Linked DNA regions of Saccharomyces cerevisiae S288C. Each later gene encodes a partner of the first gene's protein in a complex. Each region holds a gene or a part of one and is shown on either strand. Other genes may lie near its edges. The genes, in order: BRE5 and UBP3. A codon is read from its position in the direction of its gene.

Evidence for each region.
Region 2: the proteins of BRE5 (region 1) and UBP3 are in contact, whole or in part, in a crystal structure (PDB 2QIY), measured with the Saccharomyces cerevisiae proteins. Residues at the interface, in NP_014449.1 of Saccharomyces cerevisiae: Phe10 (codon at 2,235), Gln14 (codon at 2,223), Tyr17 (codon at 2,214), Glu18 (codon at 2,211), Arg21 (codon at 2,202), Lys50 (codon at 2,115), Asp51 (codon at 2,112), Asp52 (codon at 2,109), Leu79 (codon at 2,028), Lys80 (codon at 2,025), Leu81 (codon at 2,022), Lys82 (codon at 2,019), Leu83 (codon at 2,016), Asp84 (codon at 2,013), Thr85 (codon at 2,010), Ile86 (codon at 2,007), Glu105 (codon at 1,950), Phe107 (codon at 1,944), Gly110 (codon at 1,935), Thr111 (codon at 1,932), Pro112 (codon at 1,929), Val113 (codon at 1,926), Tyr114 (codon at 1,923); in NP_011078.3 of Saccharomyces cerevisiae: Leu206 (codon at 2,581), Pro207 (codon at 2,584), Leu208 (codon at 2,587), Phe209 (codon at 2,590), Ile210 (codon at 2,593), Asn211 (codon at 2,596), Thr212 (codon at 2,599), Glu216 (codon at 2,611), Phe217 (codon at 2,614), Ala220 (codon at 2,623), Ser221 (codon at 2,626), Gln223 (codon at 2,632), Arg224 (codon at 2,635), Leu227 (codon at 2,644).

Annotation. Positions count from the first base shown.
Region 1 is NC_001146.8:716,066-720,419, forward strand, and holds BRE5 (Bre5p), read right to left. Parts: upstream 2,263-4,354; coding exon 715-2,262; downstream 1-714. Other genes in the region: CCR4-NOT core DEDD family RNase subunit POP2, read right to left, coding at 3,281-4,354. UniProt on the Saccharomyces cerevisiae protein: Has a role in de-ubiquitination. In conjunction with UBP3, cleaves ubiquitin, leading to the subsequent mono-ubiquitination of sec23.
Region 2 is NC_001137.3:468,986-474,389, reverse strand, and holds UBP3 (mRNA-binding ubiquitin-specific protease UBP3), read left to right. Parts: upstream 1-1,965; coding exon 1,966-4,704; downstream 4,705-5,404. Other genes in the region: PET122 (Pet122p), read left to right, coding at 1-349; YER152C (2-aminoadipate transaminase), read left to right, coding at 402-1,733. UniProt on the Saccharomyces cerevisiae protein: Has an ATP-independent isopeptidase activity, cleaving at the C-terminus of the ubiquitin moiety in natural or engineered linear fusion proteins, irrespective of their size or the presence of an N-terminal extension to ubiquitin.

The DNA.
Region 1 (4,354 bases):
TCTCACTTGTTTTTTCCTTGATTTTACTTTCAATTTAGTTTACAATATCATGGGACTTTATCTCCATGACTATGCCATTTCTAGGTAGCCTATGGTAAACGAATCCCGTAGATTATTCACACGTTTGTTGTCTTTGTTGACAACAACACAGAGTAAGAAAAAGCAAAAGATTTATCTCTTTTGTCCATCTTTTTTTTATTTTGAAGGCGTGTAACATTTATTGGTTACAACATGGCTTGTTTTCTTGTCCCTAACAATCGCCAGGAGAATTTTTTTTGAAAATTTTCTTCTATTTTAATTATGTACATAAATGTCGTCAGTTAACTACAAATGAGCTATCTATCAATATGCTTTTTTTTTTTTTTAATTACTGCTCAAGCTTGCTATCCCCTTCTACCTCCGTTTCCTAGCACAGAAGAAAGTGCCCATATATCATTATATTCAATTTTTAACTTGTCTCTTTTTCTTTTCTGCCTCGGTTTCGCGCATCTACTCTACGCTATATTTTCATAATCATCTCATTTAAATGGCATTCATTCCCTTCCGCGCCAGTATATTAGTTACTAATCATACAGTTTCTTGTTTCAATTTTTTAGATTTTAATTAGCGGTTTTTTTTTGGTTTTTCTTAAGATTGGTTTTATGATTTTTTTTTTTCTTTTTCAAATTTTTTTATTATTTTTTCAATTTTTCTTTTTAAAAGGCTTGTGGTTGACTAGTCCTTTCTTTTTAGGGGTTGCTTTCTATGAGAACGTGTTCCATTAGTAAATATGCCAGGAGGATTATTGCTCGTGGGCTTCTTTACTGTTTTTCTTTCTAAGCATACTTCAATACCATCAATTGACTTTTTCTTCTTCTCTAAAGCATCGATTTGGCTCTTTTGAGTTTCAAAGTCGACGACGGCAAAATTGTCTGCAGCTGTTATCCTCATAACTTTACCGAATTCTTTTTCTAAGGCACTTCTCAATTTTTCTTCTCTTAAGCCATTTGTACCTCTAATGTAGATTGGATAAAAGCCGTCCTTGTTAACGGTGCTGAATACTGGTTTTTTCTTATTTTTGCTGTTAGCACTAGCGTTGTCCCTCCGATTCCCCATTTCAAATTTTCTTTCAGTCGGTTTCTTGGGTAGTGTTTCAGGTCTGATGTATTCAACCGTGGTATTATTTTTGCTAATTCTGTCGGAGTTTTCATTCATCAACTTTGAGGCCCATGTCATCTTTGGTGGATTCGCAACGGGCTCTGGAGAAGATGAAGGTGTTGAAGCGTTATTGCCGGATTCTTTGGCGTCGGAAACCTGTGGCTCTATTGGTTTAATTTCAGTTTCAGCTTCCTTTACGCCCCCAGGTACCGGTTTTTCATCACTAACTTCTTTACCGTTGGGCAAAGAAGAGTTATTAACAGCATTTATGGCCTCAACAGAGCCTTCCTTTGTCTTGATTGGTGCAGCTTTCTTTTCGGCTTTGTGAGATTTTTCATTTAGTTTAGTAACGTTTCCTAACTCTTCTGTAGAGACCTCATCTTGTTTGTGGTTGCCCTTAGTACTAGATGGTACCGTTTCGGTGTGAATCTTGGACTCTTTAGTGACGGGTATAGCCCGAGGTTGACTATGATCGACAATTGGTTTTTCCTGAGTTGACGATTCAGTTGGCGCAGTTGTGTCTTTGACCGTTTCCTTTTTGGCCTTTGGTTTCGATATTTCTGGTGATTTTTCTTTTTCTTTTTCTTTTTCAACTCCGGACTCATGCCTTATTTTATCTTCTTCAACTGCACTGACAGAGTTCTCCTCGTTAGATTGTGACAAAGAAGCATCTGTTAAGACATAAGGCTTGAATGAATTGGAAATAAATCTGATTATATCATTGGTAATGTCAAACGTAGACCCATTGCTGGATGGTAGCAGGATAAATGTTTGACAAAACTTATAGACCGGAGTTCCTGTCCAAAACATTTCACCCGTGGCCATGATCAGAATGCTTTTGTGCAAGTGCCCAGTGTACTGGAAATCTATAGTATCTAATTTTAGTTTCAAGCTCCTAACTTTGGCATCATTTCTAGAAAAAAACTTATTAATGTTTTCACGTCCAGTAACTTTCACCGTTGGAAGAACGTCATCTTTTTCGTTTGTTGACTTGGACTGATAATTAGTATGCGTCAACTCGGCTGTACTTGCATAAAAATATGCCAATTTGGAAGGGTCGGTCCTCATTCTTTCGTAGTAGTTTTGCAAAAAGGCAAAACATATGTCTTGAACGGTAACACCCATTTTCTTTTATTTGATACTTCTATTCGAGGGTATGACTTCAAATGCAACTATTAGTGACAAGGTAATAAAACTATAACACACTTGAAAAAAAAAATGCGATGGTTTTGTAGTATTCTTCGTGATCTTTTTCTCTTTAAAAATCAACGAAAAATAAAGATGTATCAGTAAAATAAGTTTTCAACAGATTCTCTGTAAAATGATTGACTAATTGAATATTTGAAAGAAAATGAGGTTTGAACGAAAATAATAAAACAAAAAAAAAAATGTAATTAAATGGGCAAAAATGAATTAAAATGTAGGGAAAAAACACAACTTGAAGAATTAAACAGAGTAAAAAAACGAAAGCTTGTGGTAGGTGATATAAATAAATTAAAGCAATATCTTACTGTTTATTCTTCCTCTAGAATAGTTTTGGTACTAACGGTAACTAGAAAACTGAAGAAGTTTTTCGTATTCTTCTAATACTCAAGCAAAATATCCTATGTCAAGTACTACCACTTGTACAGTCTTCGTTTTGTACAAATTAGGTATGAATTGCTCTTTTTTGAAACAGTAATGGGATAAAAAACAAATGACTTAGTTTAACGTCCGCCGGTTGCGATAGAACTTTTAACCGTAACAATAGTAACAGTGGACAGGAAAAAAAAACGGTACGAAAAGGTAATATTGCCTAATCTGAAATAATGTAGTCACTCTAGAACTATTAATAAAGAAGCTTGTACTTCCTCTTATCCCTGGAATGGACGGTTATGCTGCTTGCAATATGTCATTCTTTCATTAATCGCCACCTGATGTTTTTCGCTGCTTTGGACGAAAAAATTTCCAAGAAAAAATAAATGGTTAAACAAACTACAGCGCACGTGACCGATAACTATACGGGAATAACGCATCAATCTCCTGTGGAAGAGTGCTTATTGCATCGAAGAACCAATCTGTATTACTACATGTCCAATCATAAGCTGATGTTGCTTTTAAACTTTTTTTTTTAAAATTGTGTATACATATAGTACATAAATGATCATTGGTCCCCATCAATACCGTATATGACACCTTGGTACTTGGCGAAATCCGTACCGTTTGGGAACTTATGCATAGACAGCTTGCTCAATTGGCAGAAGGATAGAAGCATCAATAGACTCTGGCCGCCTGTAGTAGTAAATATAGAGAATCTTGGTAGCCCTAACTCATCGGCAAGTGTGGTTAGTGAATATTGCTGCTGCTGTTGCTGTTGTGAAGATTGTTGCAATTGAGGGTTCTTGAACTCCTGGATTATTTTATACACCAGGTTTAAGTCGTAGAAATTGGGCATGTATTGATGGACCCACCACTCGAAATCCTCCTTGTTGTTGGGCATGGAGTCATTCATTAGAATGTTGATCAGGAAACCTAGATCATATGCCGCATGGTATGTGATCCAAGTAACAGAATCATCCATCATTAAACCAGAGTCCATTAGAAGCTGCGAAAATTCAAATACATCGATGCCTAAATTTTCGTGTTTTTCGAAGTTGATACCTGATTTTCTGAGTAATTCTAACGATTCTGTGGACATGATTTCCTTCTTTGGGTCAAATTCAAAATTGAACTGCCACGTTGAGGGACCGTTGTCAGGCTTATTGCCGTTGGCGTCACTCAAGGAAAGACCAAGTTGTATTGGGTTTAAGAAGTCTACGTTGGCCCTCATTGTCTGATAGTGGTAATCGACCTTCGACCTGAAAGTGCCGATCGGCCTAGCCAAAGTCCCCACAAACTCAGTACTGATTGACACATGATTATACTGCGAGACCAGTTGTCTTATAACGGCGAATTCACTGTAAAGGTTGGACTTCCAGACATCGCGAACGAAAAGATAATTTGGGGGTGGTAAAAAGATCGGTGGCATACTTTGGTTGGTTAAATGCTTGGGTAGCTGGGAAGCCAAGGGACGATTGAGTCCCACTCCCTGCTGCTGTTGCTGCTGTTGTTGTTGCTGCTGTTGTTGTTGCTGCAGAACGTTCAGTCCGGGCGGCAAACTAGCCACCGAAACAGGCGTTCCTATATTAAATGGCTGCTGTTGTTGTTGCTGTTGCTGTTGTTGCTGAGTTAACAGTGG
Region 2 (5,404 bases), on another chromosome or scaffold:
CTCCACGGCGCTCAGGGAAAAGTGGAAGGTATTCTTGCAGGAGATGGATACGCTACCAGGGCAGCCGCCATTAAGGCTGCGCGACTTCCCGCAAATGACCAAGGCTATGGGCATAGCATTGATGCAGCAAGATGAGCAAGCAGCTGCCCTGGCGTTGTTTGGACGACAGCCCCTAGTGATAAAGAACGAATGGTCACTACCGCTACTACTGGCTGGTGTCCTTTGGCATGTTCCCGGCCCAGCGCAGGCGCGACGTGTGCTGGCGGAGTTCCGTCAAAGTTATCGCGGGCTGCCGCTGCTGGATGCCGAACTAGTGATAAAGAGAAGAGGATTTGAAATCAACACATAAATCTGGGTGGAGCATCGCTGTAACAAGGAACAACGCGTGCTAGCAAGCGGTAATGAAATACAAGGAAATCAATTTCTTCAAGGGCCATCCGAGCTCGAGGTTGCTGCCTCGAGAAGCAGTAATTCAAGCGACTGCGGCTATATTGGGGCCCGAGACCAGGGAGTACGATAACGACCCCTATAACAGGCATCCGCTGACGTACGGTTCGGACGAAGGTGCCCTGTGGGTGCGAGAGCAGATTTGTACGTTTCTGAATGATCAGCTGTTTAAGTTCGAAAATGGGGCTCGGAGCAGGACACGGGCAGACTATTTGAATCTGAATAGCGGCGCTTCGTATGGCATGCTGAACATCCTTCTGCAAACAACCTTGCCACATAACGGGTATACCAGGCAGGCGTTCATCATCACGCCAACATATTTCTTGATCAACAATTGCTTCACAGATGCGGGATTCAAGGGGAAAATGACCGCCATCAACGAGCAGGGCCACGACTCGATTGATTTCGAGTCGTTGATTTCTGCCCTTGAGCAGCACGAGGCGGAGCCGCAGCCCCATAGTACCACAGAGATGATTCAGGGGCCAAAGTTGACCAAGAAGGTCTACAGGTACGTTATGTACTGCATCCCGACGTTTGCAAACCCATCGGGAAACACATACTCGCTTGAGACCAGACGCAGACTTATCGACATCGCTCGGAAGTACGACATGCTGATAATCACTGATGACGTGTACGATATTCTAGATTACACGACGCCCTCAGATGAGCTGCCCTCTCCGCCCCTAAGGATGGTGCACATAGACAGAAGTACAGCGCCCTCCGGTGAGGACTCGTTCGGGAATACAGTGTCCAACGCAACTTTCTCCAAGCTGATCGCCCCTGGGCTCAGATTTGGATACCATGAGTCAATCAACGCGAATCTCGCCAGACAGCTATCTAAAGGTGGTGCAAACGTCTCTGGCGGAACTCCCTCACAACTGAACTCCATGATCGTGGGTGAGATGCTGCGTAGTGGTGCCGCCCAGAGATGCATTGCACATCTGAGATCCGTATACTCCGAGAGGGCCACTGTCTTGACCTCGGCGCTTAAGAAATACATGCCCCTAGGAACCGAGATTATGCCATTGAAGGGCGGCTATTTTACTTGGATCACTCTCCCACCAGCGTACAATGCCATGGAGATATCCACTATTCTTGCCAAGAAATTTAATGTCATCCTTGCCGACGGCTCCAATTTCGAGGTCATCGGCGATGAGAAAAACTGGGGTCAGTCATGCTTTAGGCTTTCTATTAGTTTCTTAGAAGTTGATGATATCGACAGGGGCATTGAGCTGTTTGGTGCTGTTTGCAAATCTCATGCGATCACCAATAACATAACTATGTAGAAGGAATACGTATATAGGTGAACGGTAATAAGAGGGTAATTTTTCTACGGGCAAAGGCAAGGAAGAAAAAGAAAAAGAAGGAAAAAAATATAATGTGATAAAACAAACAAGCAGCGAAAAAGCGAAAGGGAAGAGAAGTGTTTCTAGAGAAGAAAGTCATTTTAATAGTAAGTCAGACTCGTCTGCTACCATCATCCAGGTACCGCTTTCCTTTCCATCATCATTAAAAAAAATGAACATGCAAGACGCTAACAAAGAAGAGTCGTACTCGATGTACCCGAAAACCTCTTCTCCACCACCACCTACGCCAACCAATATGCAGATTCCTATTTATCAAGCGCCTTTGCAGATGTACGGCTACACTCAGGCCCCATATCTATACCCCACACAAATACCTGCCTATTCGTTTAATATGGTCAACCAAAACCAGCCAATCTACCATCAAAGTGGCAGCCCACATCACTTGCCTCCGCAAAACAATATTAACGGCGGAAGCACTACCAATAACAACAACATTAACAAGAAGAAGTGGCACTCTAATGGCATTACCAATAACAATGGAAGCAGCGGTAATCAAGGCGCCAACTCTAGCGGTAGCGGCATGAGCTACAACAAATCCCACACCTACCATCACAATTACTCTAACAATCATATCCCCATGATGGCCTCTCCAAACAGTGGCAGCAATGCGGGCATGAAAAAACAGACCAACTCTTCCAACGGCAACGGTTCTTCGGCTACTTCACCATCGTACTCTTCCTACAACTCTTCTTCACAGTATGATTTATACAAGTTTGATGTCACTAAATTAAAGAATCTCAAGGAAAATTCATCAAACTTGATTCAATTGCCACTGTTCATAAACACTACGGAAGCAGAATTTGCTGCGGCAAGTGTCCAAAGGTACGAATTAAACATGAAGGCTTTGAACCTAAACTCTGAAAGCTTAGAGAACTCATCTGTAGAAAAGAGCTCTGCCCATCATCACACAAAAAGCCATAGTATACCAAAGCATAATGAGGAAGTAAAGACAGAAACACATGGGGAAGAAGAAGATGCTCATGATAAAAAACCACATGCGAGCAAAGATGCGCACGAGCTTAAAAAGAAAACTGAAGTAAAGAAAGAGGATGCTAAGCAAGACCGTAACGAAAAAGTTATACAGGAACCTCAAGCTACTGTTTTACCTGTAGTGGATAAGAAGGAACCAGAGGAATCTGTTGAAGAAAATACTTCCAAGACATCTTCACCTTCACCATCTCCTCCAGCAGCAAAATCCTGGTCCGCCATAGCATCAGATGCGATTAAAAGTAGACAAGCTAGTAACAAAACAGTCTCCGGATCGATGGTCACTAAAACACCAATTTCTGGTACGACCGCAGGCGTTTCATCAACAAACATGGCTGCGGCGACTATAGGTAAATCCAGCTCTCCCCTGTTGTCCAAGCAGCCTCAGAAAAAGGATAAAAAATACGTTCCACCTTCTACAAAGGGTATTGAGCCACTGGGTTCGATTGCGTTAAGAATGTGTTTTGATCCCGATTTCATTAGTTACGTTTTACGGAATAAAGATGTTGAAAACAAAATACCAGTCCATTCCATTATTCCAAGAGGCATAATTAACAGAGCCAACATTTGTTTTATGAGTTCTGTGTTACAAGTGTTACTCTACTGTAAGCCATTTATTGATGTAATTAACGTTCTCAGTACACGGAATACCAATTCAAGAGTCGGCACATCATCCTGTAAATTATTAGATGCTTGTTTGACTATGTATAAGCAATTCGATAAGGAAACCTATGAGAAAAAATTCCTAGAGAATGCTGATGATGCTGAAAAAACCACGGAAAGTGATGCAAAAAAATCATCAAAATCCAAGAGTTTCCAACACTGCGCCACTGCCGATGCTGTCAAACCTGACGAATTTTACAAAACTTTGTCTACTATACCGAAGTTCAAAGACTTGCAATGGGGCCATCAGGAAGACGCAGAAGAATTTTTGACCCACTTATTGGACCAATTACACGAGGAATTAATTTCTGCAATTGATGGCTTAACCGATAATGAAATTCAAAATATGCTGCAAAGTATTAATGATGAACAATTGAAAGTTTTCTTTATTAGAAATTTGTCACGTTATGGAAAAGCAGAGTTTATCAAAAATGCTAGTCCTAGACTGAAGGAGTTGATAGAAAAATATGGCGTGATCAATGATGACTCTACCGAAGAAAATGGTTGGCATGAAGTGAGCGGATCTAGCAAAAGAGGCAAGAAAACTAAGACCGCTGCCAAGAGGACTGTCGAGATTGTTCCATCACCAATCTCCAAACTTTTCGGTGGCCAGTTCAGATCTGTGTTAGATATACCGAACAATAAGGAATCTCAATCGATTACACTCGATCCGTTCCAAACAATTCAATTGGACATTTCAGATGCTGGTGTGAATGATCTAGAAACTGCATTCAAAAAATTTAGTGAATACGAATTGCTACCCTTTAAGTCCTCGTCAGGGAATGATGTCGAGGCCAAGAAGCAGACTTTTATTGATAAATTGCCGCAAGTTCTTTTAATCCAATTCAAAAGATTCTCATTCATAAATAATGTGAACAAAGACAACGCAATGACGAACTATAACGCGTACAATGGACGTATTGAGAAGATCAGGAAAAAAATTAAATATGGTCACGAGTTAATCATACCTGAAGAATCAATGTCTTCCATAACATTGAAAAACAACACCTCAGGGATTGATGATAGAAGATATAAGCTAACCGGAGTTATATACCATCATGGGGTAAGTTCCGATGGCGGTCATTACACAGCGGATGTTTATCATAGCGAGCACAACAAATGGTATAGAATAGATGATGTAAATATTACCGAACTAGAGGACGATGACGTTTTGAAAGGTGGCGAAGAAGCTTCTGATTCGAGGACTGCCTATATTTTAATGTATCAAAAGAGAAATTAAGACGGGGGGTGGTATTATAGACAAAATACATAAAAAATAATATAGCAATAATACAATACAATACAATACAATACGATAGTGAGCACGATTTTAAAAAAGAAATAGAGACAGACAGAGAAACAGAGTTACACTTTATGCTTGGCATATTTAAAAAATGATTTCGCCCAGGATCGAACTGGGGACGTTCTGCGTGTTAAGCAGATGCCATAACCGACTAGACCACGAAACCAATTATTTCTTGGAGATGAACATTTAAGAAACAAATACCTTGTAGAAGGAATGTGAATTTCAAAATATTATGGCCTTTGGCAACAATGGAATCACAACAATTATCACAAAACTCATACATCTCTTAAGATTCATTTCTTACTTTAAGTAATCATCCAAATTTAGCCAAAGTTTGATTTTACCTAAAAAAAGCAGAGGATTCCCGATTTCAATCATATGTGCACAGACGATGAGTCCAACACGTTATCGTTAACATAGTGCTCAATATTGCCACTGCGCTTCGCAGGAGCATATTTCGTATACGCCAAGCCCAAGGAGGGTTTTGTCATTAAGCAGCTTACGCCAATTAAGTGCTAACCTCGAAGCACCATACTTTATCTCAGGATTTACAAACTCCCTATTGCACAACGGCAAACAACATAATCATGACCAAATGGGTAAAAAAGATGAGCTGTGAAAAAGCCAAAAAAAA